Rhinolophus ferrumequinum: one gene and its partners. The protein of the gene in region 1 interacts with the protein of each later gene in a biochemical or structural test. Links are inferred from orthologs where the notes say so. Each region holds a gene or a part of one and is shown on either strand. Other genes may lie near its edges.

Region 1 (7,425 bases):
AAGACTCAGGACACTCTGAAAGCCATGCGTGAAACCTCACGTTAAGAAACCTTGGTTTACTGTATTTAGACCCAACAAGGTCAGATGGTCATCGCCTGGTGTCCCCCTCTTAACAACCTTCCAAGATCAGGAAGTCGGTGTCTGATTTGATTCCATTATGTTTGGACAAACTAGCTTGATTGGAAGATGTTATTTCTTAGCTATTTTATAGCAGTTTAAAAATGTTAATAATGGCAGCAATTTCAATTTTAACCCACGTTTCATTTAACGATATCAGTTACAACAAATTATTAGTTGAAAAAACGAGTCAGTTAAGTTAGACATAAGTTAGACAATGTAAAAACACGAGAAATTAAGAGTTGAAGGATTTTTTATTCCTAAGTCTTTTGATCCATTGACAGTAAAACTGATGATTTCAAAAACTTTTATAGCAGTTATGAAACGTGTTTTAATACACAATATTAGCATACACAACAAAAATCTTTGATCTAAATACTAACCATATAAAAAAGGAAATATATTCCAAATAAATGTGTCCTCCCTTCAAGTGCCAATTTTAAAAGAGCAGAACAGCCTTAAAAGTTGAGGTTGAACAGCAATGTCCACAAAGCACCAAAATCTACATATCAAGTGTTTTTTTTAATTAAAAACTAGACGAACTTTTCTCCCATTTAACCCTATCATAATTTAGTAGCCAAAACAAAAAAGTAACGTGCTCTAAAAGTTTCATTTTCGAGTACACTGTCCTTGGAGTTCTTCCAGCTAAATTCTTGCTAAAAACTCAGATGTAGAATAGAAACTTGTGTTAAACACATTAGAGTTTGCCATCCTTAGAACTAGCGGCTATCTTCGAAATGACCTACCTATTCTTGAACTGTACGTAGTACAGAAATGGCGGCTTTCTGTTCAATGCCAAGCACACTTAGTCCCCCAAATCAGCTTCCCAACTATTTTTTCCACTAACTTCAGTATCCCACACGCTTAAGATATACAATCAGGCAGATAGCAAACAGGCATAGCGGGAGAGGGAAAAACCACAACACAGCTTTTTATTCTTTGCGACACTCAATCCTAAAATCCACTCACTGGATAGTATACGTTATCCAGCAACGTGGTGACTCTACAAGTGACTACCAAAATACCTTCACTGCCACTTCCAACAGAATAGGCAGACAGCTACACACTGCCAGCTCACATCCAAAAACAGTAAAATCATAACCGTCGCTTAATGATAACTACATAGTAAGTCAAAAAAACAAGTCGCTACAAGGACAGAGACTGCTACTTGGGTGTGTGGGCAATTGCTTGCTCCATTCAGTAGAAACACACCTCACTAAGGCCCGCCCTCCCCTCGCTCCCACCCGAAGCGATTTGCAGCACTTCTAACTATAGCATACCCGAGCACGCACTCACCCCGCCCATACTCGGAGGAGGCAAACACCAGGCGCACCAAGTTCACCGCCCCATTCTCTATGCAGCATGGCCTCTGCGTGATCAGAGGAGCTCGGGGCTGGACAAATCTTTAATGCTTCCTCTACTACACCACTTCCTCCCACCCACGCCAAACTCAGAGACATCGGAATGAAGGAGAATCAGGGCATCGTCCACTCTACAACACCAGCAGTAAATGATTCGATCACAACACACTCAAGCCCCCGAAAACAAACTGGGACACGGAACCCATTTACAGATCCCTAAAAAATCAACTAACCTTTCCTACTTTAATCCTACCCTGCAAAAAACTAGAAAGATTTTTGAGTTTCCTTGCAAGAGGAGCAGGGACTCGGCAGCCCCTCCCTCCCTCGATCCCAAGCTCTCCACCGAGCGGCCACGTGATGCAGGCGGACGTTTCAATGCTGCTGCACTAAATATTTCTGGAAACTTCCACTCCTAATAATTTACAGAGATGTTCCTGAAATCACCCCAACTTCTCCCTATCCCCTTGGGCTGGGGAAGCCCTTCCACCCCCGCGTGGGGGCCCTGCTTCACTATCACGCTCTTCGCCTTCCTCCACCGCCACCCTCACACACGAATGACCCAGCAAGCGCTCCCCTCCCGCGGCCGCCTCCATCCCCCAGTGGCAGAAGCGGCTCCATTCAATCGCAGGCTCCGCTGTGGGCCCGCCGCCGCCTCCTGGGCTCGCCTCCCGCGGCCGCCGCCGCGCCCCACGCCGGCCTCCTCCCGCCCCGCCGTGCCGCCGCCCGACCCTCGGCCCCGAAGACACAGTCGACTTACCCAGAGATTGAACCAACTGCTTCTTCCTTCCTTGTCGGGGGATTAGGGCGAGGGAAGGCAGGGAGAGGGGAGAGGGGAGGAAATCAAGGTGGGTTTCACAGTTTTCCCACCTTAAAAAAGGAAATTAAAAAAAAAGGATAAGGGCAAAAAAAGCTCAACAATATTTACTATTTCAGGGACACCTCCCCCCGAAACACACCCACCCGCCCCCCCAAAAAAGAAGGGAAATTAATCTGAGAAATAAATGCTCCCGCCTGGCTAGGGAGTAAGGAAAGGGGGAGGGGAACGGGGTCAAGTCCCAAAGATTCAGCCCCAGGGAGACCCTCCAGCCACAGGCGGCAGCAGAAGCGGCAGGAGTAGGGGGTGTAGAGTCCACACGGTCGGGGGACGCTCTGCTGCCAGTTGCAGTCCGACTCCCCCTACCAAAATACGGCTCCCTCTCTCACGCGGCTCCGGCGCTGGGCCCCCCCCACCCCGGCTCGCCTAAACTTTCCCCCCTTCTCCTGCTCCTCAGCGACTGGTGGTTCCCCCCTCCCCCTCTGGGTGGTTGCACGGACTGCAGCAGCAAAGACTGGAACAGGCACCGCCGCCGGGGCTGTAGCTACTGTTGCTCTTGCTGATGCTGTAGCTCCCGCTGCTCCTGCCGCGGCCGCTGCAGCCGCTTCTCCCCCTCCTCCTAGTGCCTCAAACTCGGAACCGGTTGAAACCGGTTCAGACTGGGAGATTCCATCTCGGTTGAGTTTTCAGCCCATGGCGCCGCGGAGCGTTTGGAACCTGGGCCTCCGCCCCCAGCCCGACCGCCCATTGGCCGGTTCCAGCCACAGCCGCGCCATCAGCCTACCTCTAACTGGCCAGATCCCCCGTCAATCCCACCTCAAGTCTCCACACGAGCCCGCCGCTTCGGCCCCCGCCTCTTTCCAGCAGCGATTTGCCCGCAGAGTGGGGGAGGGGAAGTGGGGCGGGTCGAAGAGGAGCAAGGAGAGGGGTGGAGGAGGAGGAGGTGGGACGAAGAGCTGAGCCCAGCAGAGAAGGGAGCGAAAAGAAGACGCGTGGAAGATTGGTTCGAGTGAGCCGCCAATCAAATGCAACCCGCCCTCGACTTCCCGTCCCCCTCCCGCTGCTTCCTCTCCCACACCCGCTGGCCCAGCCTTTCCGGCCCGCTCATTGGCTGGGCGCCTTTGGTGACGGAGAGGGTGGGGCGCAGCTCGTGAGCTGGTGGTGGCGCGAGTTTGAGCGCGGCGCGCAGCATTTTCGCTCGGCTTTCCCGGACCCGTGCCGTCCCGCCCCTGTCGGCTCCCGCCAACTTGCGGGGCCTGAGCCCGCCGGAAGAGGACCCGCCCTCTCGAATGGGGGCTGCGCTACGAAAAGGGAGGGCACACCCAATTTTTCTAATCAGGGAGAGGGGTGGAAAGAAAACGAACACATCCGAGGCCAAATGTAGGCCCCAGACCTCTAATCCATTTTAAAGCCCTGAGTTTGGGGCCTGGGGAGTTGAGGGTGAGAACAACCGTAAAAGAGGTTGAGGTGAGGTGTAGTAGAGACGTTAGTGCTTGGCTCCTTATGATCTCAGAGACCTGCAAAAGACAAATAGTTGCTGGGCAAGTCTCCTTCAAATTTAATTCGGTGTCTCCCCAGGCTGGAATTTGGCTGCTTCAACAACCAACCCTTCCTAAAAACTAATCCCTATAGTGGTTTAACATTGCATATATTCGCTGGGTAATCTTGCATGCCAGTTGCCTCCCACTAGGTGCCCTTGATCTGCCTGTACCATCGATTTTTCTTTGCAGCATAGTTGCCCTTCTAATGCTTCATCGTCACCAAATAGTATTTTCTATGATAGTCACGCGCACGTGGCCTTTCACATGGTTGCCTCTCGATTGTCCCCAAGTGCCCTCAGCTTTACTGATTGTTCTTTGCTTAAGAAAAGGCGAGCGGCACACCAAAATTTTCTGGGCCCATTGTGCCACCAAGAGGTTGATAAATGGTTTATTAAATCAATTTTTTTCAGCAAATCTTCACTCACAGTGGTCAATGGCTGACACACCAAAGCACCACTTAAAAATAACTCCCTCGTCCAATATATTGTGATGGAAAGAGAACTGAGTCTGGGTGGTAAGCACACAATGTGATACATAGATGATGTATTACAGAATTGTACACCTGCAATCTATGTAACTGTACTAGCAATTGACACACCAATAAACTTTAATTAAAAAAATAAAATAACTCCCTCATCCTCCAATAAAGAAAAATCCAACAACTTATTGCCTAAATTTACCAAAATGATAATTGGATGACTTTCAGACCTAAGGTTTTTATTCATTGCCTATCTGAATAATACAAAACCATAATATATATGACATAAACTAATCATTTGGAACACTTAACATTCTATTACCAGAAAAACTGAGACTGTCCTATTTTTTTTTTTAAGTTTTTCCCTCTACATATTCAGCTTTGACCAGTCACTGAATTTTTAGATGGCAGAACAATAGGAATAAAAACTGGGAGTAAGACCTGGTTTTGCTCAGACTGTGACCTTGGGTGATTCACTTCATCTTTTTGGGCCTCAATTTTTTTTTTCTGACACACTTAATGAAACTGATACCATCTATGCCTGTCTAATACATGTAAGGATCAAGTGGATGTGAAGGAGTGCTGTGGCCCATAAAGCACTTTGCGGATTTTAAAGTTCAAATGGTCTCAGTTTGCTATCCCCTTCTTTGACTCTTTTCATCCCTTCTTTAAATCATACCCCCAGGAGTTCATATTGTGTGACCATAATGAATCAGATGTAAATACCGGGGGTGCCAAAAAAATGTATACACATGATTTGTATTCATCTTTTGTTATTGGTATATATTGAGTATTAAAATTATAATACAGTTTTCCTTTTTTAATATGTGTGTACATTTTTTTGTATTTAGCCCATTATTTTTTTGCCTAGAGTTAGCCAAAATGGAGTATTCAATATAAGCTTCTTATTAACAAGTGCAAAAGGAAGTGACAGGGCAGATAATTATGTTTGATCACTGTATTTTCAGGATCAAATTCAGAACACAGGTCTGACGTGTGTCTAATACTTTCTTCATTACCTTCATTTGTTGGACTCACACAGATTTCAAACCTTGGTGGATATGGATAAGGAAATGTAAATACCCTGTTTCCCCGAAAATAAGACCTAGCCGGACAATCAGCTCTAATGCGTCTTTTAGAGCAAAATTTGCTCTAAAAGATTGTCCGGCTAGGTCTTATTTTCGGGGAAACACGGTAAACCATATTGAGTGCCTGCCTGCTGTCTAGCAGACTGTTAGAGACCTTTTTTGTACAATATTTAACTGAATTCTTACAGCAACCCTGTAAGATAGTTACTATTTTGCAGATCTCACTCTGTTCCACGCCCCCATTCATACGCATATACACATACACGCAGGTACACACCACCCCATAGTACTTTAGTCCATAACTAGAACCCATGTTTGTGTTCTTCGTACTAGTTCACATTGTCTCGCAAAACAATAACATTCATCAAAAATAAGAGAAACAGAAACTCATAAATTCCTTTCTACCAATTGTCGTGTATTTCTATTTTTTAAATTATTTTTAATTTAAAAAGTAATGCATGATCACTTAACAATTCAAACAATAGAGAAAGAATTATCTACACTAAAAAAGTAAAAGTCCTCTTCCTATGCCCCGCCATTTCTTTTTCCTGTCCAGAGATAATCATCATTAAGGGTGTGATGGTTTGAGATGTTTTCTATCTATTCACAAACATATTTGCTTTGTGTTTTGTTCAACATATATGATATCATACTATACATATTGTTCAGTGACTTGAGTTTTTACTTAGCATGTCAGAATGTATAAATCTACCTCATCCTTTATTAACAGCCTCATAGCTTTCCCCATCTTCTCAGTACCAGAAATAATTCAACAATTCCCCCCACTGAGGACAATTAGGCTATTTCCAATTTTTCCCCTTACAAATGCTGCTGCAGTAAATACCCCAGTACATTTATGTTTGGACACATTTGTAAATATATCTCTAAGTTAACATCCTAAAAGTGGAATTACTGTGTCAAAGGCCAAGTATATTTGTTATTATGATAGGTACTGGCAAGATTGTGTCAATTTGCATACCCACCACAATATGTGAACAGTACCTGTTTATTCCTTATCAAAGCTATAGATATTAAGGTCACACCAGAGTTAAATAAGGAATCTTTGCATTTTAATTTGAACTTTTGGTTCTGGAAGGCAATCTTCCCTGACGGTGAGCTCTTCAAGGAATATACAAATGATAAGATTAAATGCCCATATAATGTAGTAAAAATATTTTTTTAAGTTAAGGATATGCAATAAATCTATTATTTTTAATAACAAAATTGTTATTTCAATCGTTTTGAGAACATTGATACCACTTTGCGCTCAGAGGTACAGCAACAGTGACTTTCCAAAATGCACTTCTTCCTACCAGTCATGAAAATCAGACACTTGGACTGAACATACCATGATTCACTGGGTATGTTCATGTATCGAGAACAAAGTCATAATCCCATGGGCTTATTCTTCCTAATGACTATCTAGGGCACATTTGTGACTTTGTAAAGCCTGAAAGGAAGCACTGGGAGGCGAATTTCTTTGAGAATATTTTATACAAAATCTTTTTTCTATTTGCTTTTAAAAATACTGTGCAAAACACTACATCACATCACATGCTTAGATTTCAAAAACATTACCAAAGTAACAGAGAACAGTAAAATTGTGTATGATGCTGAAGCATGAAGATGGAAGAGAAGGATACTCTTTGCAAGAAAAAATTGACCTAAGAACGCATAGTTCAGGTTCACATTTATTCCTATCAACCCCAATCTACAGTGTTGAGAATGTTTATGGAAAATTAAAATATTCTATCTGTGAATCTAATTCCTATGTGTCCAAGACCTCAGTGAATAATCTATATGGAGTCTGTGAAACCTCAAATCACTCAGGAGCAGAATAAGCAATTGTCTGAAAGTGAGTTGCTGCCTTTTTGAGGACACAGTGAAAAAAAGCATCTGACAGGGCTTTTAAGTCTAGGAGTAATAGTTTAACTATCTGAGAAATTTATACAGTTCTACGAAGTGACATACCACAATGGGTCTTTTACTCATGGAGAAGTGAGAAATGAAGTATCATTTAACTAAG
Region 2 (7,712 bases), on another chromosome or scaffold:
TGGCCTCCAGCCCAGAGAGGGAGCTACAGGCCTCAGCTCAGGCCACCAGGCTCTGGCCCAACATCCCACCTCCCTGCCCAGAACAGCACCTCACACCGGGCCATGCAAGGCCCCCATCCCAGCAGTCCTGCCCTAGGGCTCAGGCTAATGTTTCCCAACCCCACTGACCATCCTGCCCTTTTGCTCCCCATCACAGGACCCCAGCTCTGCTGGTACCTTTACTGAAGAACACTTTGCTCTCCCTCCCAAACGCAATTCTGTTAAGAGAGATGATGTTCTCACAAGGCCACCTCCAGAGCTTTGGCCTAGAGCCCCAAGGGCCCAGATATAAAGGCCCTACTTGCTGGCTTCACTTCCCTCAGGAAGGACTCGTGTCTAGGGCACCAGGAGCACTTCCCACCTTCTGTGCGGGCAGGGAGGTAACAGCAATAGCTCCACCAGCAGTCCTCACTCTTGGGAGGAGCCAGCCCCTGGCTGCAGCATCATTTCTGGACAGAGCAGAGACCTGGAGAACCAGTGTTTTCAGGGCAATTCCACCACCCTGAGACCAAAGAGGGGTTTGCCACCTCTCCTTTCCCAGGCCTTTGGGAGTGGTGGGGAGGGGCTGGTCTCCCCCGTCTTAACCTGGTATCTTGGATAGATCTGAAGAGGGGCAGGCGAGTTCCACAAGCTTGGACAAGGGAAACACTATCACCATTAACTTGTAACTGAACCTAGCATTTCTTGCAATTCTGAGCATAAGCAACAGGCCACAGGCTGGGCAGGGCTGTGACTTTGTTGCAGACATCTCAACAACACGTTGCTAGGGCAGGCACTGCTTCAAAATAACACCTGCACTGGAGCTTCTCACTGAAGGCACCAAGAAGCACAATTAGAGTAATTTTTAAAAGTAATCTTGATAATTCTAACACCACCCACTTTTGTCGTAATTCCAGGCATTAATTTTGTGCATTAAAAACATAAATCAGGGATTCACAAGCTACAAACTGCCAAAATCCATGGCAAAAATATTAATAATAACGGAAGTAAAGGTAGAGACTCCCTGCTCAACCAGGGGAAAGGGGCTGTGGGAGTCAGCTGAGACACAAAGGAAAATACACCCTGTGAACACAGCAGAAGTGACAGGACTCTAGGGAGTGTCTGTGCCCTCCACAGCACTGGCCATGGGGCAGCAGTGGCACCCACTAGTAAGTAATCTAATAAGTGGATTCTAACAGCAACCTTGATTTCCACGTAGTATTAGCCATCACACAAGTCTAGGCCCTTTCTTCAGCCTCACTCTGATTAAAGGTCAGGCCAGAAACTCGACACCCATAAAAACCTTAAACTGCATCTTCAACTAACAATATTTATTTCTGAAGTAACATCAGGTCACTTACATTTTGAAAAGCTCCTCTTCGTCTTCTTCCAGCGTTTTAATTTCTTGCTCGGGAAGAGAAACTATAGGCTCAAACTGCGGGTCGTGGTTGGACTCATCTGCATTCTCGGTGGAGGTATCATGGTCCTCATGGGTGTCCTGTGGAGGGAGGTGTGGAGAGGTGACTGCTGGAAGTGGCCATTCGCACTGGTGAATGGCCTCATCCCAAAGCAAGAGATTAAGCCCATAGCCTTTCACACTAGGAAAGGTTTGCATGTACGTCCAGCATACAGTGAGACGCTGGACTTCAGCATCGTCCCCCAGATGCATCAATCATATTTGACTGGGATGCCTAAAACTCGGCTACCTATTGGTGGAATGGCCTGAGAAACTGCCCCATCTCTTTGAGCCTCAGTTTCCTCATCTATAAAATGTGGATAAGTGATACTGCCACGTGAAGACCAAAAGACACAATGAAGGAAGAATTGAAGAGGGCCTCAAAGGCAATTTCACCCTTAAAGCAAAAAAACAACCCTAAGAGTTTTTACTGGCTGGGAAAAATCTGTGCTCTTGCTTACTAGAAGAAAAAAAAGTTGGGACTGCTAGTTTTACACAAAATTCACAGTTCTGTCAGCACCTTTATGTTGCTTCAGAAACCAAGTTAATAAGTCAAAAGACAACATACAAATAAAAGCCATAAAATGCTGGTCCATTTTAGAGAACTATAGAACACAAAGGATCTTATGTTAGATCGAAGTGTTTACAGGACGAGTGGCTTGGTGAGCTATAAAACCAAAAGAAACCAAGACACTTCACTACCAGATGTAAGCCGAAAAAGAAAAGATAAGCCTTCGCTGCTTTCCTTGGTTGGAAAGCACTGCGGCTCGGCCGCAGCCAGCTCACCCAAGCAGCCACCACGCAGCCAACAAAGCCGTCCCCTCCCTGGGTCGGCGCGTCCAGTACCCGTCCACCCCGCTGGAACGCGAGAGGTCCTGCCGCAGAGGCCTGTGGCGGATCGAGACTAGGACAGAATGAATGAAGTGCTGCGCAGACGACGAGAAGGAGGGATGCATGGTCTTGGTAAGAAGCCCGCAAGTGGGCCGAGCAGAGGAAACCCGCCACCCGCCCTGCGTCCCTGGCAAGCGGTGAGAGGAACGCGAGACCAAGGAGTTGGGGCGGCGGGGCCGCCCCACGTCCTGATGGAGCTCGCCCGACCACCCGGGGCCGCCCCAAGGTCACGCGGGCACCCCGCAGCCCCCGGGCCCGAGCCCGCGCCCCCAGGTCCCAAGCGCCCCCGTCTCGAAGGCCTCGAACCCCCAGGCCGCGCTTCCCACAGCCCTACCCCGCGCCACCGAGACCCCAAACGCCGAGACCGCAGGACAGCGGGGGTTGGCGGCGGCGGCGCGGGCCGCCCACGTGGCCGCCAATAGCGGCCTCGGCCCCCCGGCCCCCGTCCAGTTCCTGCCCGGGCCCAGCCGCACCTTGGCGGCCGCCATGGAGGCGCGGCGGCGGCGGCGGCGGCGGCTCGGCTGGCTTGGTCGTCCCTGGCTCCGCGGCCTCTCTGCGGCTAGTCGTAGTTCCTTCCCTCCGCGTCTGGCGCCGGCGCCTCCCGCCCGCCCGCAGTTCCCTCCGCCCCGCGACCCGAACCCTGACCCCTGACCCCAGCGGCGGGAAACGCGCCGTGATTCAAAACCAGTGCAGCTTTATTGGCTCAGGCGACGGACAATCTCATTGTCCGGCCCACCCCGCGCTTCCCGCCAAAACGTCCGCGGCGCATGCCTGGCCCGCCCGGACAGAGCAGCGTGAGCTCCCGGCGGCCTTCGCGCGCACTTCCGCCCCACGGCTGCGCGCGCCCCTCGAGCTTTCGAAAGCAGGCGACAGACACCGGGGTCGGTGCCGGCGCACAGCGATGACGTCGACGGAAGCTAGGATAATAGACACGCGCCACCTAGTCTGCACGAACTGGCCGACGGGAGAGCTGCGGGCGGGGAGAGCGGCGTGCGCGGGGCCTCTGGCGGGCGGGAAGTGTACCCCATACCCGAGACCGTGGACCTGAGCACCTAGGGTTCCAGTCCTACCCACTCCCTCACGGGGCGGGACCGGGGGCGGCCTCTCGGCGCCGCACCTGTGCTCTGAGCGCCTTCTGTGCGCCAGGCCCAGGGCGAGGAGGCGGAGGCGGCACTTGTGGGGCTTCCAGTCCAGGCCTTGGACAAACTGGACGATGAATGATAAACTCGACAACGAAGTAAAGTGAAGGGAGATCCTAGCAAGAGACGCGGGGCCGAGATGGCGGACTGCGTGGGAGGGGCTGGAGGGGGGGGAGAGGTAGGAAACCCGTGGGCACGGGGAGTTGAGCTGGGAGAGGAAGGAAGTGGGGGTAAAAAGGGGTAGGTGTAGGATGGGTGTAGGATGCACTAACGGAGGTTTGGGTGTGCGGCCGGGGAGCCTGGGCGTTCAGCCCTCATCCTAGCCCTGCCTGTGTCCACACAGGGCCCGGGGCCAATGGAGGGCTGCGACCAGGACAGCAGCAGTGCTCTGGGCAGCCCTGCAGCCCCCGCCCCCCAGAAGGAGACGGAGGAAGAGGGGGCTGGGGCGGCTGCAGAGTCAGGGCCTCAGCCTGGGCTTTACAGCTACATAAGGGACGACCTGTTCACTTCGGAGATCTTCAAGTTGGAGCTGCAGAACGTGCCACGCCGCACCAGCTTCAGCGATGTGCGGCACTTTCTGGGCCGCTTTGGCCTGCAGCCCCATAAGACCAAACTCTTTGGGCAACGTCCCTGCGCCTTTGTGACATTCCGCAGTGCCGCTGAGCGGGACAAAGCCTTGCGTGTGCTGCACGGTGCTCTCTGGAAGGGCCGCCCTCTCAGAGTGCGCCTGGCCAGGCCTAAAGCTGATCCCATGGCCAGGAAGAGGCAGCGTGAGGATGAGAGTGAGCCACCAGCCACATGTGTGGCCGATGTGGTGACTCCTCTTTGGACCGTGCCCTACACAGAGCAGCTTGAGCGGAAGCGGCTGGAGTGCGAGCAGGTGCTGCAGAGGCTCGCCAAGTGAGTAAGGGCACAGTCACTTATGTGGCACTGGAGTTCTGCTCAGCTCCATGTTCACTCAAGCCCATCCTGTGCACTGTACAGACACACTCAGGGTCTGCACATTGTCTTGGGGAGCTAACCAGTAAGACCCCTGAGTTACCAGTGGGGATAATGAGGTCCCAAGGGAGGTTCTGGGTGCCTGGGTATTTGGAGAGTGATTGGAGATGGGTTGGGAGCAGCAGGCTGAGTCCAACCCCGGCCTCACCTCACCCTGCAGGGAAATTGGGAGCACCAACCGTGCCCTGGTGCCCTGGCTGCTCTCACAGAAGCACAAGCACAACAAGGCCTGCTGCCCGCTGGAGGGAGTCAGGCCGTCACCCCAGCAGGTCAGGCCCACAAACCTTCACCCCATGCTCTTAAAGAAGCTATCTTAGTCCATCTCTCCCATCCCTCCTGCTTTCCACTTATTCCTCATACTCGTCACGTGACTGCTGGTTGCTGTCAGCCTTGTGCCCTGGACTGCCAGGCCCTTTGGGGAGCTGGGACCTCTCACTCGTTGCCATCTCTCACTTCCTGCAATTTTCCCTCCATGTACAAGTGCGGGAATGCCAGGGTAAGGTCAGGAATGTCTCTGCCTTCCTCCACCCATTCTGCAGACCGAGTATCGTAACAAGTGTGAGTTTCTCGTTGGCGTCGGGGTGGATGGGGAGGACAACACGGTCGGCTGCCGGCTAGGCAAGTACAAGGGTGGGACATGTGCTGTGGCGGCCCCCTTTGACACCGTGCACATCCCCAAGGCCACCAAGCAGGTGGTGAAGGCCTTCCAGGATTTCATCCGGTGAGGACTTGTGGCTGGGCTGGGGGCTCCGGGATGTCCTGCGGTGGTCTGGGAGCAGAGGGCCGGGTCCTGCCTGGTGGGTGTGGCCGAACGAGAGGAAGGTAGGCTGATCTCCCAATTCTGGTCAGCATGGGTGGCAGGTCTCATGGACTCACGGCCGCTCGTGGCTCCCACAGGTCCACTCCATACTCGGCGTACAACCCAGAGACATACTCAGGCCATTGGAAGCAGCTGACCGTGCGCACCAGCCGCCGAGGCCAAGCCATGGCCATTGCCTACTTCCACCCTCAGGTCTCAGGCAGGGTGGCCCTGCTGCGGGAGGGTGTCCTGGCTTGAGTGGGCTGCATGCAACACAGTCTCACAGGACCTTCTCTACTTCCTACTCCAGAAACTGAGCCCTGAGGAGCTGGCAGGACTGAAGGCCTCCCTGGCGCAGCACTTCACAGCAGGGCCGGGCAAGGCCAGTGGCGTGACCTGCCTGTACTTTGTGGAGGAGGGACAGCGGTGAGGAGCCTGGGTAGGTGGTGGGCTGGATTCCTGCCAGAGCTGGTGACACTAACCAACTGGCCTACCACCCATAGGAAGACTCCCAGCCAAGAGGGCCTGCCCCTGGAGCACGTGGCTGGGGACCGGTGCATCCATGAGGACTTGCTGGGCTTGACCTTCCAGATCTCCCCTCACGCCTTCTTTCAGGTAGTCCAGAGTCCCCGTATCTTCATAATCAAGACACAAAGGGAGTCCTGATGTGACGTCAAGATGTAATAAAGGCAGTGCGCTAGGCGGTGACAAGTTGTTCACCTGCAGAGGTCTGGGGGAGAGCATCCGGGCTGTGAGGTCGGAATGAAGTCGTTTGCACTAACTAGACCCTTGTGACGAGTGTGCTTGAGGGCCCTATGTGGGGTGTAGGAGTTGGCGATGCCAGGGCTCTTGTGTGAACTGTGATGGAGTCATCCATGCCTGCTGCTGCTGTGGGTGGCCCCATACATCTGGCACTCAGTTCATAAGTTGGGGGAAGAAGGGGTCAGCATCAAGTTGCTTTTTAAGGCCCGGGCCCTGGGTGAGGTTATGCAGCATTGGTGTATGGAGGGGCAGTTGGAGGTGGGGAAGGGGTGGGAGCAGGAGACCTAGGAAAAGGGGGAGTAAGCCAGGGACTGGGCCACAGGTCTCCTAGCAGGGAAAGAGCCCTGCGGAGTACAGGCGTGGTGGGGGCGGCAGGAGGGGAGGCTGACCTGGGACGCAGGACTGCTCTGACATCCTGCGTGGTGCTGGCCCGCCCTCCAGGTAAACAGCCCGGCCGCGGAGGTGCTCTACACGGTTATCCAGGACTGGGCCCAGCTGGACTCCGGGAGCACAGTGCTGGATGTGTGCTGTGGCACTGGCACCATTGGCCTGGCCCTAGCCCGGGTGAGCCCTCCTGCCCCAAGCTGAAGACACCTTCTGCCTACCCCCACCCATGTGCTATCACCTCTTCGTGACCCCCACTGACCCCCACCTGAAAGACTGAGGTGAACCCCCAGCCTGTCCCAGAGCCTCTTCTCCCCATAGTGCCTCCTGCTACTCCCCTCCCCAAGAAGCCCCCAGGGTGGGGCAGGGCACTATCAGTCTGTGCCCTTTCTTCACTTCAGAAAGTGAAGCGAGTCATCGGGATTGAGCTGTGCCAGGAGGCTGTGGAGGACGCCCATGTGAATGCCCGCAACAATGGTGAGAGCCAGCGCACCAGTGGGCAGTCATCTCAGCACAGCACCTAAATCTTATTTCATGGCTTCTAGGGGCGGGGTGAGGGCAGGGCGGTGTGCAGAGCACAGCAGGGCTCCTGCTGTGTCCATGTGTGCCCGCAAGGCCCGGGCTGTGTGACACAAGTGCTAACAGGCTCCTTGGCTAGAGGTTTTCTTAAGGTGCCTCAAGACAGGGGCATCAGGACACCAGGCGGCTGGGCAGGCCCGAGGGGGTGCGCGGGGGCGGTGTCCTGCGTCCCGACAGGGCTGCTGTGCTATCTACAGAGTTGAGCAACGTTGAGTTCCACTGCGGGAGGGCCGAAGACCTGGTGCCCACCGTGGTGAGCAGACTGGCTTCTCAGCAGCTTGTTGCTATCCTGGACCCGCCTCGTGCTGGCCTACGTGAGTGGCATCCATTTGGGGATGATGGAGAAGAGGGTAGTGACACTGGCTGGCACACCAGGCTGTGCAGCCTCAGGCCTGATGCCCATGCTCACTAGCCCCACCAGCCCTCCTTGAGGTGGGGACGTTTCCCTGAGGGAGTCTTATTTCCTCAGATTCCAAAGTGATCCTGGCCATCCGCAGAGCTGAGAACCTCAAGCGGCTCTTGTATGTCTCCTGCAACCCCCGGGCAGCCATGGGCAACTTTGTGGAGTGAGTGTGAGGTGGGGGCCCCGGGTGGCTGGAGCCAGCACCGAACCCCCTTCCCCCCACAGGAGCCCCAGCCACTGGCTGACCTTGACTGCTCCCTTTCCACCACAGTCTCTGCCGGG
Region 3 (6,926 bases), on another chromosome or scaffold:
CCCTGAGCATTTTGAAAATTATGTTGATGTGACAGTAAGTGTTACAGTGGAATAAAAAAAACCCCAATGATAAAGAAATGAAAAGAAACAACAAAAAGAGGAGAGCAATAGATGTGTGTCTAGCGAGTCGATGGATTATGTATTTCCTAGGAATGAAGATAACCTGAGTTTGTTTATGTGCGTGTCTATCCTAGTCTAAAACGATGCCCTAGTACTTAAAACTAACCCAGGAAGTTACGACTTTTCTGATACTATGATACTATGTTACAAGTTCGGTAGCATACATTCACAGACAGTGCAATTCTGTTGCAGTGTCACTGTGAGCAAATATTGAGGGAGTTTGCAGACATCTGCTTTACCATAGGGAGCAAGAAGATCCAAGTGGATGGAGCCCATATGTGCAGGAGTCTGCTTAGAGGAAATTGTAGACTGAAAACGCTTGTTATAAATCTGCGTGCCGGCACGCAGTGAGGTTAAACAGAAGATCCACAACAAGCCAGACGAACCGTTATTTATAGTGAAAACGCAAGAATAGCAGCGATTGGAAACTAAAACCATCTCAGTAGCCAGATGATAAGGCGGCCTCCCCATAACCTGGGAGGTCCAGGCCCCTGAAGGCACGTTCGGAACGGAGCCCAGTGGTGTGAAAGCCAGACTTCCGAGAACACCGACGAGTGAGGGGCTTTTGCATATGTACCCTCTTTTAGATGACAGTAATCACTTAGGTGGTCGTTGGTAAGTAGCCCTCAGTGGTATGTACACAGCATTTGTGGGTTACTTCCCGGGGGCAGCGGGCACTTGAGCACTTGCCTTAGAAGAGGAGCCTGGGGTCAGGGTGCCTCTCTGCACGGGAAAACACGGGAAGGTAGGCATAAGCGAATTGACAAAGAGGGGACTGGGGGTCATGTTCACTGTGTTTGCTTGTCTATATTTCCTGTAATCAGGCCGGTACTTTGGGTTAATTTTTTAAAGAGCTTCATCCAACTGGTCGAGTCCCTACCATAGAGCAGCACAAAGATTTCCGTCACCACCTCTCAGGCCCATGGGAGCCGAAACAATTGCTGGGGGGAGGAGATGAAAGGTTTATGAATAAGACTCTGGTTACTCGAGCTGCTCAGGTTAAATCACGGAGCTGTTCTTTCTTCAAGGCACCAACTGACCCTCAGCTTAGCAAACAGATTTGCCTCTTCTGCCTCCCATGGTAGACTAAAGGGATGCAGGCAGCAGCGGTGCACTTTCCTCTGCACGATAGCTGTGATTATGGCTTTTCTGGAACATTCTTGTACAAAGGTTAAAGGCTGTGGGATTGTTTAGCCCGAAGGCAAGAAAGCAGAGGTAAGCTCCAACTCATTTGCCTTCAGTGGAAAATAGAATGTGGGAAGACAGGCTGGAATTGTTCTAGGGAGTTTGTTCTCCTTTTTTACCATTTAAAATTGTGGCAGGTATCATACACATACTATCCTTTATACAGTGCAGACTACAGTTTAGTTTTACCTGCTGTAGGACTTCATGTAAATGGAACCGTATAGTGTGTATATGGTTTCTTCCACTTGATAGCATGTTTCGATAATTACCCACCTTGTTGCTTGCCTGTGGCCCTAGTTCTTTTTTTTTTTTTGGTCCCTATACAATATTCCATCGTAGCTGTATGCCACCATTTATGTGTTTCACTTTTGGTGGACATTTGTTTCCAGTTTGGACGCTATTTTGAATAATGAGCAATGAAGTTCCTGCACACTCTCCAGGTCTTGGAGTGGAGTCACTGAATTGTAGGGCGTGACTATTCATGCCTTTCTGGAGTGACAGTGAGCTGGTGCCCTGTGGTGACCAGCGGCTGCTCGCACCTTTGTCCCCAGCTGGCCCGATCACATGTTTAATGTGGCCTGTCCGGTGGGTGAGCGGGAAGTCTGTGCGTGTCACCCTGGGGATGAGACTGAGCACGCTCCACGTGCTTACTGATATTTGAATTTCTTGTGTCAAGTTCCTGGACCACTGTTTTGCCAACTGATTATTCCGACTATTATTATTGTTTTTCCGACTGATTATTCACTCAAAAAACCAACCTACTGAAGGTCACCACTGCAAGGGGGGTGGGCGGTATATAACACATGTTCGCTGCCCGGAGAAGAAGACTTTACAGCTCTAAAGGCAGATGTGTAAACAAGAAACTCAGAAGATGGTGATGAACGTTGGGGCAGCCAGCTCCCCCACCAGCCTGTTAGCTGAGGACGGGACTCCTATTCCCATCGTGTCCTCAGTATGTAAACATGTGGCACATACTAGGTGCTCAGCAGTTGTGATCAATGAGTGAATGAGGCATTTTCAGAGGATGGTACCAGTGCCCTAGTAGGGTCGGTGCAGAGGAACGGAGAGGCACAGAATGAGGACGCACCCATTGCAGCCACCCTATTCAAAGCAGATCCTGAAAGCCTGTTTGGCCAGAAGCAGTGCAGGAAGTTCGTTCTAGCGGAGGAACACACTGTCCAGACAGAGGGAGAGAGGCCGCAGCCCACACTAAATGAAATCCGAGGTGACTGACACTCAGAGTGCATGCAACGGGAGGACAGTGGAGAAAGGCGTCCGCTGTAGAGGGGCTGCCTGTAAATCTCAAAAGCAGTGGGGCTGAAACTGCAATGAAACAAAATAATTTCTCACAGGGGAGAGGGCTGTCGAGTACCTCCGCACCTTGAGTAAGATAGAGTTGACACATACGCCTGATCACGAAACCAACTGAGTTTGTTCCCTCTAATAACAGAAGTGATCTTTTGGAAAGTTGTGGTGTAAGGAGCGTGTGTCGAGGAATGGTGCAGGGTGCTTTTTGTGCAGTCAGACCTGGAAAGCTTCCGTGTCCACCTGTCGTCTGGCAGTCACGCCCCCCTGTAGAGCTGGTGTGAAGAGGACGTGGAGCTGGCTGTGAGGGCTTCGCCCCTGCTGGGGGGGTGATGGCGCCGGGGTGGCTTCATGTAGGTCCTGAATTGTTCAGTTGCTGTTATTGCCTCGCATTTTACTGGCTGTTACCAAGGAATGTGAGTAAATAGTGCACAGTGGGGATGGCAGTCCTTTGTAGAGACCTGGCCCCCACCCCCAGCCGCTTCGCACATCTGACATGGTGACACTCGTGTGGACCAGGGCGACACTCGTGTGGACCAGGACAGCGCCTGGGCCCTTTCTGAAGGGCTAGGCCCCCCAGCGGCTTCGTTTCCCTCTGTTTTACCCCATGTCTCCGAGGGGCCGGCCAGGGGCGTGGGCAGCTCGGTATTTATGGCTCTTTTCCTGAAGGAAGAGTCGGTAACCTGCCCCTCTCCTGCGTGGAAGGATCAGGTCTGGAAGCCGGGACTCGGGCCAGTGCCGCCGGCCCCAGCCCCTCCCCTCGGCCCGACTGCGCGACGGGGCGGTCCTTCCGGAGAAACGAAAGTGAAATTGAGCCGCAGCCGTGTCCGCCCGCGCGGGGGGGTTCCTGTCCCGACTGCACTGACCGGAGTCTGGCCCCTGGAGACCGAGGACCACGCGGGGCGGGGCGGGGCGGGGCGCACCGGGAGAGGGTCGTACTGCCCGGACATGCCTCTGGGGCGCAATGGACCCGAGACAGGTAACCACCTGGGCCCCGGGCCGCTTCGTCCTGCTAACTCCTGCCGTGTGGAGCGACGCGGGGAGGAGGGGTGGGGGGGGACGTGCGCCCCCGACAGCGGCGAGGCGCGAGCCCAGGTCCCCCGCCCTTTCGTGAGGACCCCCGATGCGCGCGCCCCCCCTTTGGCCCCACTTGGACAAAACGCTTTACTTTTACACTCACCTCTCGACACTCTTTCCACTTCCGGAAGGCTTTGGAGGAAATGAAAAACAGCTCTTCTGAACCCGTAAGAGAATCTTTGTAGCCGCTTGATTTATTTTGGCTAAAAACTGGGAAAACCCAAATGTCCTGCAACAGGTGACGGGATAAACAAAAGGGGGTGCATCCGTGTAATGGACTATTGCTTGGCCGGAAAAGAAAAAGAAAAAGGAAGGCCGATACAGGCTACAGCCAAGGTTGGCCTCATACGCATTAGGCCGCGCAAAAGGCTACATTGCTGTCTGAGTTCCTTTATCCGACATTCTGAACCAAAACAAAACGAAAGGGACAGAAAACAGAGCAGCAGTTGCCAGCGGGTGGTGTGGGTGAAGCAGTAACTGCAACGTGCGTGATAAAACGTTTTGGGGAAATGGAAATACCCCGGTGTGGCTTGTTATCTGGTAGTTAGGAGGCCACCTGTGCTGTGACTCTGTTGTCACAACTTAGAGAATTGTCCACTAAAAGGATACGTTGTACTGTCTGTAAGTTTCCTTCCATTTTTAAGAAAGATTTTGTAAAATATATACAGGCGTGTATGTGGCTGTGTTTTACATACACACACACACACACACACACCTGTCTCTTCTTTAAAAGGATGAGGGCACCTGACTTGAAGGAAAAGCATTTTTCCACGGGTACCAATATGTCACCGTCAGGAACCCGTATGGTAAAGGTGGGGGACTCGTCTCTTGATCCTAAATATATGAGATTGGAGTGAAATTTGGCAGGGCAGTGAATGTCAAATGGCTTTTTCTGTAGTTTGCATAGTAAATAGACATGAAGTGAGTGAGGGGACATGGGGACGGATTTTGGGGAGACCTCCCCAAGCTGGTCTCCCACTTTCTTCCTGTCGCTGCCATTCAGTGGCACTCCAGAGGGCCCTTTTCAGGTGGGGGTTTGACTTGGCCTTTAGGGGACTCAAAGGGGAGGGTATAAAGAATAAATTAATAACCCCGTCTAATCTTTCCCTACAGTAATGATTGTTGATAAATGCATCCTTTCCTCCTGTTCTTTCTCCATCCTAGCGGTGTTCCTACTCCCATACATAGTCATGGGTTTTTTTTCTTTTGTTTACCCAAAAATGTAGCATAATGTCGCTCTATAGCTTGCTCTTCTTGTTTAATTTAACGTTATGTTGCTCCTAAATTTTCTCCAGGTGAATACAAATAGATTGCATCACTTTTGTTTTTTTTAAAGTACTCTTTCATAGCATGCATGTATCGTGGTTTAGTAGACTCTTCTTATGTCAGTGGACATTCAAATATTTTTGCAGGTTTTAGCCAAGCAGTAGCAGTTCAAATCTAGAAAGCATTTAGCTAGGAACTGACTTTAGCCACTTTGGGAGAAAGTTCTTTTACCACGGCCACTCAGAAAGCTAATCAGAACCGCCCTGAAGAGCCTGGGTGAGCAGGGCTGTCACTGCACACACGCCTCAGCCCTCCTTGCAGCGCGGTGGGGGAGGGGTGTGCAGCAAGAGCGTGGGACCTCTCACGTGTCTACGGGTGTCTTGGTCACGCGGTCATTCATTCACCAAATGTTGGTTCAGGATCAACTCTGCCAGGTGCTGGCTTAGATAACTGAAGCATAGTCCTTCGCCCCCTGGGGAACTAACCGTGGAGTTGACTGCAGCCCCTCCTGGGCGTGGAGTTGAGTATAATTTCTAGGGCACCTTATATTGTTAATCACCTTGCAGATGTACTCATCTGCGTGCGCCACTAAAAACTCACTAGCTGTGATAAAAGGTGAAGTAGGTGGTATAACCAGTGCTGGGTAGGAGATCACGGGGAGGAGACGGCAGCTGCGCGGGAGGCGATGGAAGTGGAGGAAGTCTCCTGGAGAAGGTGACATGTCAGGAGATCTGTAAGGAGAAGAACAGACGTGTGGCAGTCACGGGAGACGCGGGCCCCTTGGACTGGCATTTGGAGAGATGGGAAGATGAGAGCTTGTGATAGCCGGGGCGAGAGGCAGTGAGGGGGGGAGCTGGGAACGACCCGTGTGAGGGCAAAGACAGGGGTGGTGGCAAGACTCGCTGTGGGAGATGCAGGAAGAAGGCAGGCGGGTAACACAGGTGACTGGCCTAATAACTAAATGGGAATGGTGCCGTCAACAGTGACAGGAACAGCAGAAGGGGCTGGGTGGAGGGGAAGGATTAATTGGTTGGGATATGTGGTATTTGAGGCAGTGGCAGGATATCTGAGGGGACAGATTGTCTAGGCATTCGGAAATTCAAGCCTTAAGCTTGAGCACCAGGTGGTGGCTGGAGATAATGGATTTTGAACGCTGTTTCTTAAGAGGCCTAGTTTAGATTCTCGGAGTGGAGGAAGTCAGCCTGAAGGAGGAAGAGGCCCTGAAGCTGACCTTGGGGGGTGCTGACCTTGGGGTGGCAGAAAGGGACAGGGACAGACAGGGAAAAAGAGGTGAGAGGAGACTTTGGTGCGGCGTCACCAAACTGGGAGGAGAATTTCTAAAGAAGAGAGCTCAGTCCACAGTGAACCATCCAATGCGTGCTTGCTGACCTGAACTGGCCACCAAAGGGTGGTGGCAGCCTCGTGAAGTTCAACGGGAGGAGTTTACAGGGTCCCGTTAGCGAGGGGCAGTGTCCTTCTCCAGCACCGTGTGGAAGCTTTGGAACAGAAAGGGGGCAGTGGGCCCTGGGGGGAGAAGGGAACTGGCTGTGAGCTCCAGGCTGAATGAGGAGGGCTGTGAGGCCAGAATGGGGACGGACGGGACTGGCAGCCACAGTGGGGTCCTATGAGGAAGGAGAGGAAGTTGTAGGAGCCCAGGGACGCTGCTGTCAGTGGAGAGCAGGAGCCTGCAGTGTCACCGCCCTCCTGCTCTTTGAAGGAGCTTTTACACCCTGCACGCGGTTGCCGTGTGTGGGAGACCCAGGTGGTCCTTTCCAGGAGAAGTTTACTGACCCCTAGAAGGGAGCTTCAGGTTAGTGGAGGCCCCGACTAGAGTAACAGTGAGACTGAGCGAGAAGCTGGACAAGGCACTGGTGGCCGAAAGGTGGACGTGGTGGCGGTCACTAAGGGATTCTGCAGCCAGGATGCCTGAGTGAGCAGGATTGGCAAAAGTGCACAAATCCCCTAATTGCAAT
Region 4 (7,627 bases), on another chromosome or scaffold:
GGAACAGTGTGTACTTCCAGCATTTTTTTCCAAGTCAAGTTGTTGTCCTTTCAATCTTAGTTGTGGAGGGCGTAGCTCAGCTCCAAGTCCAGTACCATCCCTTGCGGGAGTCGAACCGGCAACCTTGTGGTTGAGAGGATGCGCTCCAACCAAATGAGCCATCCGGGAGCTCAGGGCAGCTCAGCTCAAGGTGCTGTGTTCAATCTTAGTTGCAGGGGGCGGAGCCCACCATCCCTTGCAGGATTCAAGGAATTGAACTGGCAACCTTGTGGTTGAGAGCCCACTGGCCCATGTGGGAATCGAACTGGCAGCCTTCGGAGTTAGGAGCATGGAGCTCTAACTGCCTGAGCCACCCAGCCGGCCCCTCTTTAACCTTTTAAACCGCAATTACTTTTGCACCAACCTAATAGATAAAAATGTAAATAATTCACTTTATAAATGCTGAATTTGGGAAGCACCAGAACATAACACATTACCGTAACTGCCTGTCTAAAACCAATGCTAAAATACAACTAAAAGTTTTAAAGTTTTAAAATAAAATCCAAGTACCCAGATTATTTACATGAGGTGAATATTTTTCTGTAAGAAAGTCAAACCTCCACTGTCAAATGCCAGTTCACTGAACAGAGACCTTTGTTTATTGTAGTCAACCACTGTTAAGAGGTATTTGTGACTGAATTTCAAAGTATATGCCACTTGCACACATCTTACATTTGCTTATAGGGTGGGCGGGCTCAACCAATATTTTAACATAAAGCACCCAGTCTGAAAAATGTCAGGCTGCAACAATACAAAGGAAACCCTAATTAACTGGTTCACAGCCAGCTGGTATAGACGTTGGTCTAAGTTGGCCGTTAGCTTGAAAACTTCACACAGAATTACTGGAAGTGATAGTATAACACACACTGTCAGAATTCAAGTGCCAACTATGTTCATAAAAATGTCAGACGACCTTTCTTGCCCCAAATGTCATCTAAAACGGGGAGAGAGGAGGAAAGCTCCATCCATGGGGAAAGGAGTATCACTTGCATAAGGTAAAATATCTCCAGGTGGGGTACCCTCATTCATGAGGAATGCTGCCTCCCCACTTGATTTTTCCCACTTAGCTGCAAAGTGAGTGTTTTCAAATCTTTCTTATGATTGAAACGGTCAAGGATATTAGTGTCAACTAGGATCTCTGGCTCTTAAGCTTTAGGAGTTTAAGGACATGATAAAGGTTCTCTGTGCATAAAGTAGTAGAGGATCCATGCGCCTGGGGAAGAGCCCATGTCTCATGTTAGAACAGAATCACGCACTATGGATCCTGGGGAAATCACTTAAGTCCAACCCCTCAGGAAACTGGAGTCGTAAAATGGCTTGTCCAAGGTCAACAGTCAGAAGGGGAATCCGGCAAGAAATAAGCAATTCAAAAAAAATTGAATAAAGCCGTGCAAGTCACCAAGTAACTTTTTCTTCTACAAAGAAACTAAGAGATAACCACAGTAACAGAAGTTTTAAGAAGACCTGGAAGGAACCGACACAAGCGCTGTTGCTCAAGTTCCTTATGCATTCCTAGAGCTGAACACGGAAGGCAGAATGTGACCAGAAAGCTTGAAAAGCACTCACCATGTTCCACAAATACATTGCAGTGTGGACCCCCATGCCTTGCCGATTCCTTCTTCCCTGCTCCTTTGATAAAGTGCAGGGCAGGCAAACTTGGCCTTCTTTGGTCCCCAAGAACTTTTCCAGGCTGTTGCCCCATAAAGTAAGGATAGGCACCCCTTTCCAGAAGAGGGTTCAAGATCTTTCAGAATGATCAGCGAGCTTGGGAGGACAACTGTATATACGTTTATGTGGGATTTCACATTCACTGCATCTCCACAAGTCAGTAACTGAGGTCAATCCCAAAAAACACACCTTCCATAACCGAAGGAAGCAGTTTTTAGGCCGACATATGTAAACAGGAGTTCCGATTAGTTTTGGCAGTTTAGCAATTTGAAGTAATGTAATTGCAAAGCTACCCAAAAGTTTCTTGATTTTACGTGTCTTTTACTGGCTGAATAACAATTTCTTTCCTTTCGAGGAGAAAAACCTAAACAGGAATGTTCACAGGGGGTGCTGTGAAAGGGTCAGTAATACTCAAGTCATTTTGACTCCCCCACATAAAGAAAATGTTGATCGGCTTTGGATGCTTTTCCAGAACTTTTCCTGTGGAAGTCACCCACCCCCTACTTTCTTCATCTTCCGACAAATTCCTCCTGCGAACTAGCTGCCGCTCCTGCTCCTCTTAGCCTGCTCTCCGGAAAAGCACACGGGTCCACCCAGGCTTCAGCGCGAGTTTGCCCTCGACTCGGACGAAAAGGAATGCATGGCCAGCAACTTTTAAGTCCGCTTTTTAAAGGCCTGTGAAACGAGTCCAGACTTTTCCTTTGCATTAAAGTTTTGGCAGGGCTGAGAGCAGGGGGGCCGTAGGTGACATTGGGAGAAGTCAGGGCATTTGAGGTTCCCCGGAGCAACCTGGGGGGAAGGGGAGCCCACTTGACAGCAGGGAGGGGATTTGAATGGGGGGCTCCGAGGCCAAACTTGGGGCCGGGAGTCGGAGAGAGGGGCGGCTCGAAGGTAAGAGGGAGGCTGCCGGGGCGCGGCACGGTCGGCTGACTTTACTCGGGGGCGACGCTCCTTCACGCCTCAGGAAACCGGGTGTCCCAGGTCTGGGGGAAACAGAGACCACCCCCAGGGTCCCAGAGCCGGGGCGGGGCTGTAAGGGACGAAGGGCTCTCGCGGCTCCGAAAGCGGGAGGCGGCGGAGGGGGGAGGAGGAGCCCGGCCGCCTCAGCTGCCCCGAGCCCGGGGGTCTCTGCCCGAGACACCCCTCCCCGGCCCCGGACGTCGCCGCCGCCGCCAGGCAGTCACATCCCTCGAGCTTCGCCGCAGGACCCAGCCTCCCCCCGCAGCTAGGGGCCGTGGACAACGGAGGGGCTCCCTCAGCCGCAAGACCCGGGAACCGGCTCCGGCTCCAGCGCTGCTCAGGGACGAACACCGACCCCCGCGACGCCATGATGGATACGAGCCGCTCCACAACGAGGCCAGGCTCGCCCCTGGTCCCGCCCCCGGCGACGTCCGCAGCGCGCCTCGCGAAGACCGGGACCCTCCTGACACCGCTTTTAGGGACGCAGCCGGGCCTTCCCGCTTTAGTCTGCCTGCCCGCCAGAACCTGGCCCCAGACGACCTTTTAAATGTGGTCTTTCCGAGTGCAAGGTGAGTAGTGAGGCAGCACCCGCCTCCCCTGTACTACCATTGGTCCCCGAGAATCCGGGTCAGGTCTCTCGCCTGAGTCCTATTGGCTGATGAGGGCAGGAGGGCTACAGCTCCCAGCCAACTGCTTTCGGCGTAGCCCACAGGACATGCCGGGAGTTGTGGTCCGGTGGTGCGCGCCACTGTCCGTGAGCACCGAGACGTCTTACCCTCTGCTCCCGGTTCCTGAGCTTCGGTCCCGCCCTCCTGGGAGCCGGTGGACTCTCGCCGGCCTTGCATAGGGTTGGCCAATGTCTCCACTGCGCGGGTAAGACCCGCGAGGAGCCAAAGCAAGGGGAAAACTGCGGATTGGACTTTCTCAGAACCGGAGTTGGATTACTTCCTTGAGCCTCTTTTAAGGGAGAAAATTTAGCTCGCCGCTGGAGACCAAGGTATTTGGTGCCCACTCCCTGACCCCAAATTTCCACCTCTTCCCAAGAAGCATAAACGTTAGAACTAGCGAGAAATAAATGACTGGAAAGCATCCGACATATTGCTAAAGAATTCATTGTTTCTTTGGGGCATCAGGAGCCTCTCTTTAGAGAAACAGCATTTGTTAAAGCACCTCTCGGAGGCTGAGCCAGGCGCAATCATGGATTTTGAACGGAACCTTTACAATTAAACCTCATTTTACAGGTGTACATGTATTTACCTGAAAACATCCTGTGTTGGCCGGGAAAATGTCCATTGTTGTGTAAGGCCTACAGAGCTAGCCAATAACGCGGACACAAACCCACCCCCGTCAGAACCCATCTTCTGCTACTAAAATTCACCTTTTCCCTATTCCTAACTCTCCACGTCTCCCCAGAGCGGTGCACCTACCTGACAAGAATATACGAGTTTCTAAGGGGAATCACTCATCACTCATCACAATGCCTCCTCTACACCACGCAATTGTTTTTCATAAACTGTATTATCTCATTTAATCCTCACTGTAGCCCAATGAGGCATGTAATACCATCCTCCATTAGACAGCTGGGAAAACAGTCAGAAACTCGACCTAACTCAAGGTCACTTACCTAATATGTTAGAAAGTCAGGATTTGAGTCCAGATTGGTGTTGATCCAAAGCCCATGGATTTTCCACCATAACCATTCAGTATCAAATAACAGTCAGCGTAATGTTAGACAACTGATTTTTTCATAAGTTGCTAATGATATTAGGGGGAAACCACAGCCGTATTATAGATCTTGTACATTGTTATCTTGACTTAGGTATTTTGGATTGGAAAATGGTGTGATTTTATGTAGGCTTCAAGAAGAAATAGTCACCTGGAGGGAGTGAACGTGAGCACATGAAAATCTGTGCCCAGATTCAGAACTGGAATTTATATTCAGATGGTAACTGGTTGAACTTTGCTCTCACAAAAGTCTGGCCGATAAACTTGGTCCTGGCTTGTATATCACCCTGAAAACTTCAACGCCCTTGTTCCTTTATTTACCCATTGTCTTATCCTGATTTACCACCCTAATTTTTTTTTTTTTTGGAGACTTGCTTTTTTATTTTTATTCATGTTTTAATCATTTCCTGCTCATCTTCATTCTTCATTCTCTAGTTTAGATTAAAATCAGGCAATCCAGCCAGAAACTCTAATACACATTTCCTGAACAATTCATTCGACAAGCATTTATTGAGCTCGTGTTGCAAGCACTGTCCTAGGTGCTGGGACACAGTGGGGGGAGGGGACAGGACTCGTCCTCCCAGAGCACACATGGAGGGAGCAACAGGCAATAAGCAAAATGAGTAACAATCCAAAGTGTCAGTCTCAATGGTGGAAATAAAATTCCTAGACCTGTATCCCTTCTCAGTGAGTCTGACCCACTCTCTGCAGGATCATTTTGACACCTCTCTAGAACTGAAACCTAGTCCTCACTCACTCACAGGTGCTAATGGGATTAATCCAGTCACTTGAATTCTCCGAATGGCAGGTCATACATGCCAACTTTACAAGGTTATCATAAGGGTCAAATGAGATCTTGTTTGGTTTTCCACAATTAAAGATGAAATTATGCTTCCTGAAAGTCAGTCTGGAGGCCAGCTGCACTTATCTAAACACTTATCCCAAATCTCCATTTTCTACTTCCCCCATTTTCTAATTTTAGGTGAGCCCCCAAGCCCAGGCTCCATTTCTGGAGATGTACTATACGTTTTTACTCCCCATACAACACTGCAGAAGGATATTTTTAAGGACTTAAAACTAGAATCCAGAGCCCGACAAATGCCTGACAGAATTCAGTGTTTCCGAATGTTGAATTCCTCACGTTCATATATTCTTTTTATTAAAAGTAGTTTGTTTCAGTCTAATGTTATCCTCACTTTTATAAAGCAAAGCAATCAATCAAGTTGCTAAAGGGATTCAGTACCTGTGTGATCTGCCCTTATTCCATTCAGTTGATTCCATTTTTTCCCATCGGCTGGAATACTTAACAAGGGCGCCCTCTAGTGGGCCACAAAAAATAATCACTAAAAAGTGCTTACAGACCTTCCTTTGTTATTTCCCCTTAGTGGATACCATTCAGCAGATATTGAATGAACAGCATGGGTAAGCAGCTTGGGAAGAGAACAGGTGAGAAGGATAACTTTCCACAAATTTACACATGGCCCTGGTGAAAACCAAACCAAACCCGGGACCCAGGCATCCTTTTCCATTCCCTTCTCTCATGAGGCATACGGCCTGGCACGTGTTGTCAAAAATATGACAGGTGAGCAGGTCTAAAGTTGCAACACAGCCTACAGAATATTCAGTTGTCTGCAAAATCCTCGAAACAGCTGATACCTTTGGGACAGAAAAAGAATGAGGTAAAAAATTGTCTATTGAGTAACGTTAAAAATATACCATTTAACAAAAGCCATGCTGCATTTCAAAACTGTCAAATGCAGGGTTCAACGTTACTACTGAAACTGTCCTAAATTTTATAGCTGACACAGGTAGAATGGTTAGAGCCTCTGGCAGAATTTCTATCTGCTTAGCCCTCTACCAACTGTACTCTTCTCCCAAGAATTATAAAGAACACAGAACAGAAAGTAATGTTAACGCCACATTTATAAATATAAAAAAAATGGTTCACATGTGAAATAAAATTGCATTTCACAGAGTGCCATTAAAAAATGTTTTCCAAAATCGAAACCATTTTTTAGACGTCAAAAACCAATGCATAGGGGGGCAGCCAGATGGCTCAATTGGTTAGAGCGCAAGCTCTTAACAAGGTTGCCGGTTCAATTCCCGCATGGGATGGTGGGCTGCGTCCCCTGCAACTAACGACTGAAAACGGCAACTGGACTTGGAGCTGAGCTGCACCCTCCACAACTAGATTGAAGGACAACGACTTGGAGCTGATGGGCCCTGGAGAAACACACTGTTGTTTCCCAATATTCCCCAATAAAAAATTTAAAAAAAAAACAACAAAAAACCAATGCATACAAATTCTAGCATTCCCAGTGAGAACTTCAGCAGCTTGGTTTTATCTTTCAACCTGAAATTATTCAAAAGTTAATGCATTACTACTTCAATTATAGAACACTAGCTTTTCTTTTCCCATCTCCATTTTTCCTACTCTGATTTCATGTTTATCAGAGCACCCAAAACATTCATTCTATTACCAATAATTCAACTTCTTACAAATCACCCTCACAGGCAGGACAGATTAAGGCAGCCAGTGTAGGTATAGTTGTATCTATCCCGACAAGGGAGCATGCAATGGGAAATAAGACCCAGCCAAGCAGAAAGCTGCTTGGCTGCCTTTATTCTTCTATTTGACTGCTGGGTTACGTTTATCAACTATATTCTTCAATGTTGTATTTGTGTTGTAGAGGAGGTGGGAATGGAAGCCAAAACAGACAATTTGGGGGTCAGGGCGGCCATGTTTTGAGAGGGGCAATTTCACGGGGCCTTGTGCCTTGTGAATTGATGGAGAGTAAAAGATTTGCCGTATTATTCCAGGAAGGGAGTCCACTCAGCTGGAACCCTGCGAGCTTTTAAAGACCCCAAATAACCCTAATGCCGGGATCTGCAGGCAGGCCCAGGGGCCAGCAGTGCGATTCACCTCTCTCAGGCTTTGCCTTTGAACATAAGAAAGCAGGTCTGTGGGCTGGAGGCGACCTGACGTAGGTCCAGTGATGAGTCTCCCAGTCCCAGGGCTTTGCTGAGCCCCACACAGGACCACAAATCAGGGTCTTCACTTTCAAGAATTACTCCAGACAGGTACACACAGTCCTGTTCTTCAGATGCTTCTCCTTATCCCTCCTGTTCTAAAAGTCTCTGGCGAGTTTCCATCACAATTTCCTCCATTATTTCAGGCTTTAAGATGTCTTTAATCTGAAAAAGGAAAAGGTATTTGTTCAGAAAAGAAACCAAC

What was found.
Region 2: the proteins of XPO1 (region 1) and RANBP1 form a complex in vitro, tested with the Homo sapiens proteins (3 studies listed by BioGRID, with this or other methods). The link is inferred for Rhinolophus ferrumequinum from reciprocal best matches to the Homo sapiens genes XPO1 and RANBP1.
Region 3: the proteins of XPO1 (region 1) and ADAR form a complex in vitro, tested with the Homo sapiens proteins (2 studies listed by BioGRID, with this or other methods). The link is inferred for Rhinolophus ferrumequinum from reciprocal best matches to the Homo sapiens genes XPO1 and ADAR.
Region 4: the proteins of XPO1 (region 1) and ABL1 interact in a test that uses a peptide from one of them, tested with the Homo sapiens proteins (2 studies listed by BioGRID). The link is inferred for Rhinolophus ferrumequinum from reciprocal best matches to the Homo sapiens genes XPO1 and ABL1.

The regions. Positions count from the first base shown.
Region 1 is NC_046296.1:27,576,027-27,583,451, reverse strand, and holds the start of XPO1 (exportin-1), read right to left. Parts: upstream 3,012-7,425; 5' UTR 2,236-3,011; intron 1-2,235. UniProt on the Homo sapiens protein: Mediates the nuclear export of cellular proteins (cargos) bearing a leucine-rich nuclear export signal (NES) and of RNAs.
Region 2 is NC_046308.1:24,568,658-24,576,369, reverse strand, and holds the start of RANBP1 (ran-specific GTPase-activating protein), read right to left. Parts: upstream 3,013-7,712; 5' UTR 2,854-3,012; coding exon 2,839-2,853; intron 1,517-2,838; coding exon 1,380-1,516; intron 1-1,379. Other genes in the region: TRMT2A (tRNA (uracil-5-)-methyltransferase homolog A), read left to right, coding at 3,644-3,682, 3,848-4,404, 4,664-4,772, 5,043-5,224, 5,401-5,515, 5,613-5,728, 5,806-5,917, 6,506-6,628 and 3 more. UniProt on the Homo sapiens protein: Plays a role in RAN-dependent nucleocytoplasmic transport. Alleviates the TNPO1-dependent inhibition of RAN GTPase activity and mediates the dissociation of RAN from proteins involved in transport into the nucleus.
Region 3 is NC_046305.1:53,159,243-53,166,168, reverse strand, and holds the start of ADAR (double-stranded RNA-specific adenosine deaminase), read left to right. Parts: upstream 1-3,917; 5' UTR 3,918-3,960; coding exon 3,961-4,023; intron 4,024-6,926. UniProt on the Homo sapiens protein: Catalyzes the hydrolytic deamination of adenosine to inosine in double-stranded RNA (dsRNA) referred to as A-to-I RNA editing.
Region 4 is NC_046295.1:78,885,182-78,892,808, reverse strand, and holds the start of ABL1 (tyrosine-protein kinase ABL1), read right to left. Parts: upstream 3,019-7,627; 5' UTR 1,742-3,018; coding exon 1,606-1,741; intron 1-1,605. UniProt on the Homo sapiens protein: Non-receptor tyrosine-protein kinase that plays a role in many key processes linked to cell growth and survival such as cytoskeleton remodeling in response to extracellular stimuli, cell motility and adhesion, receptor endocytosis, autophagy, DNA damage response and apoptosis.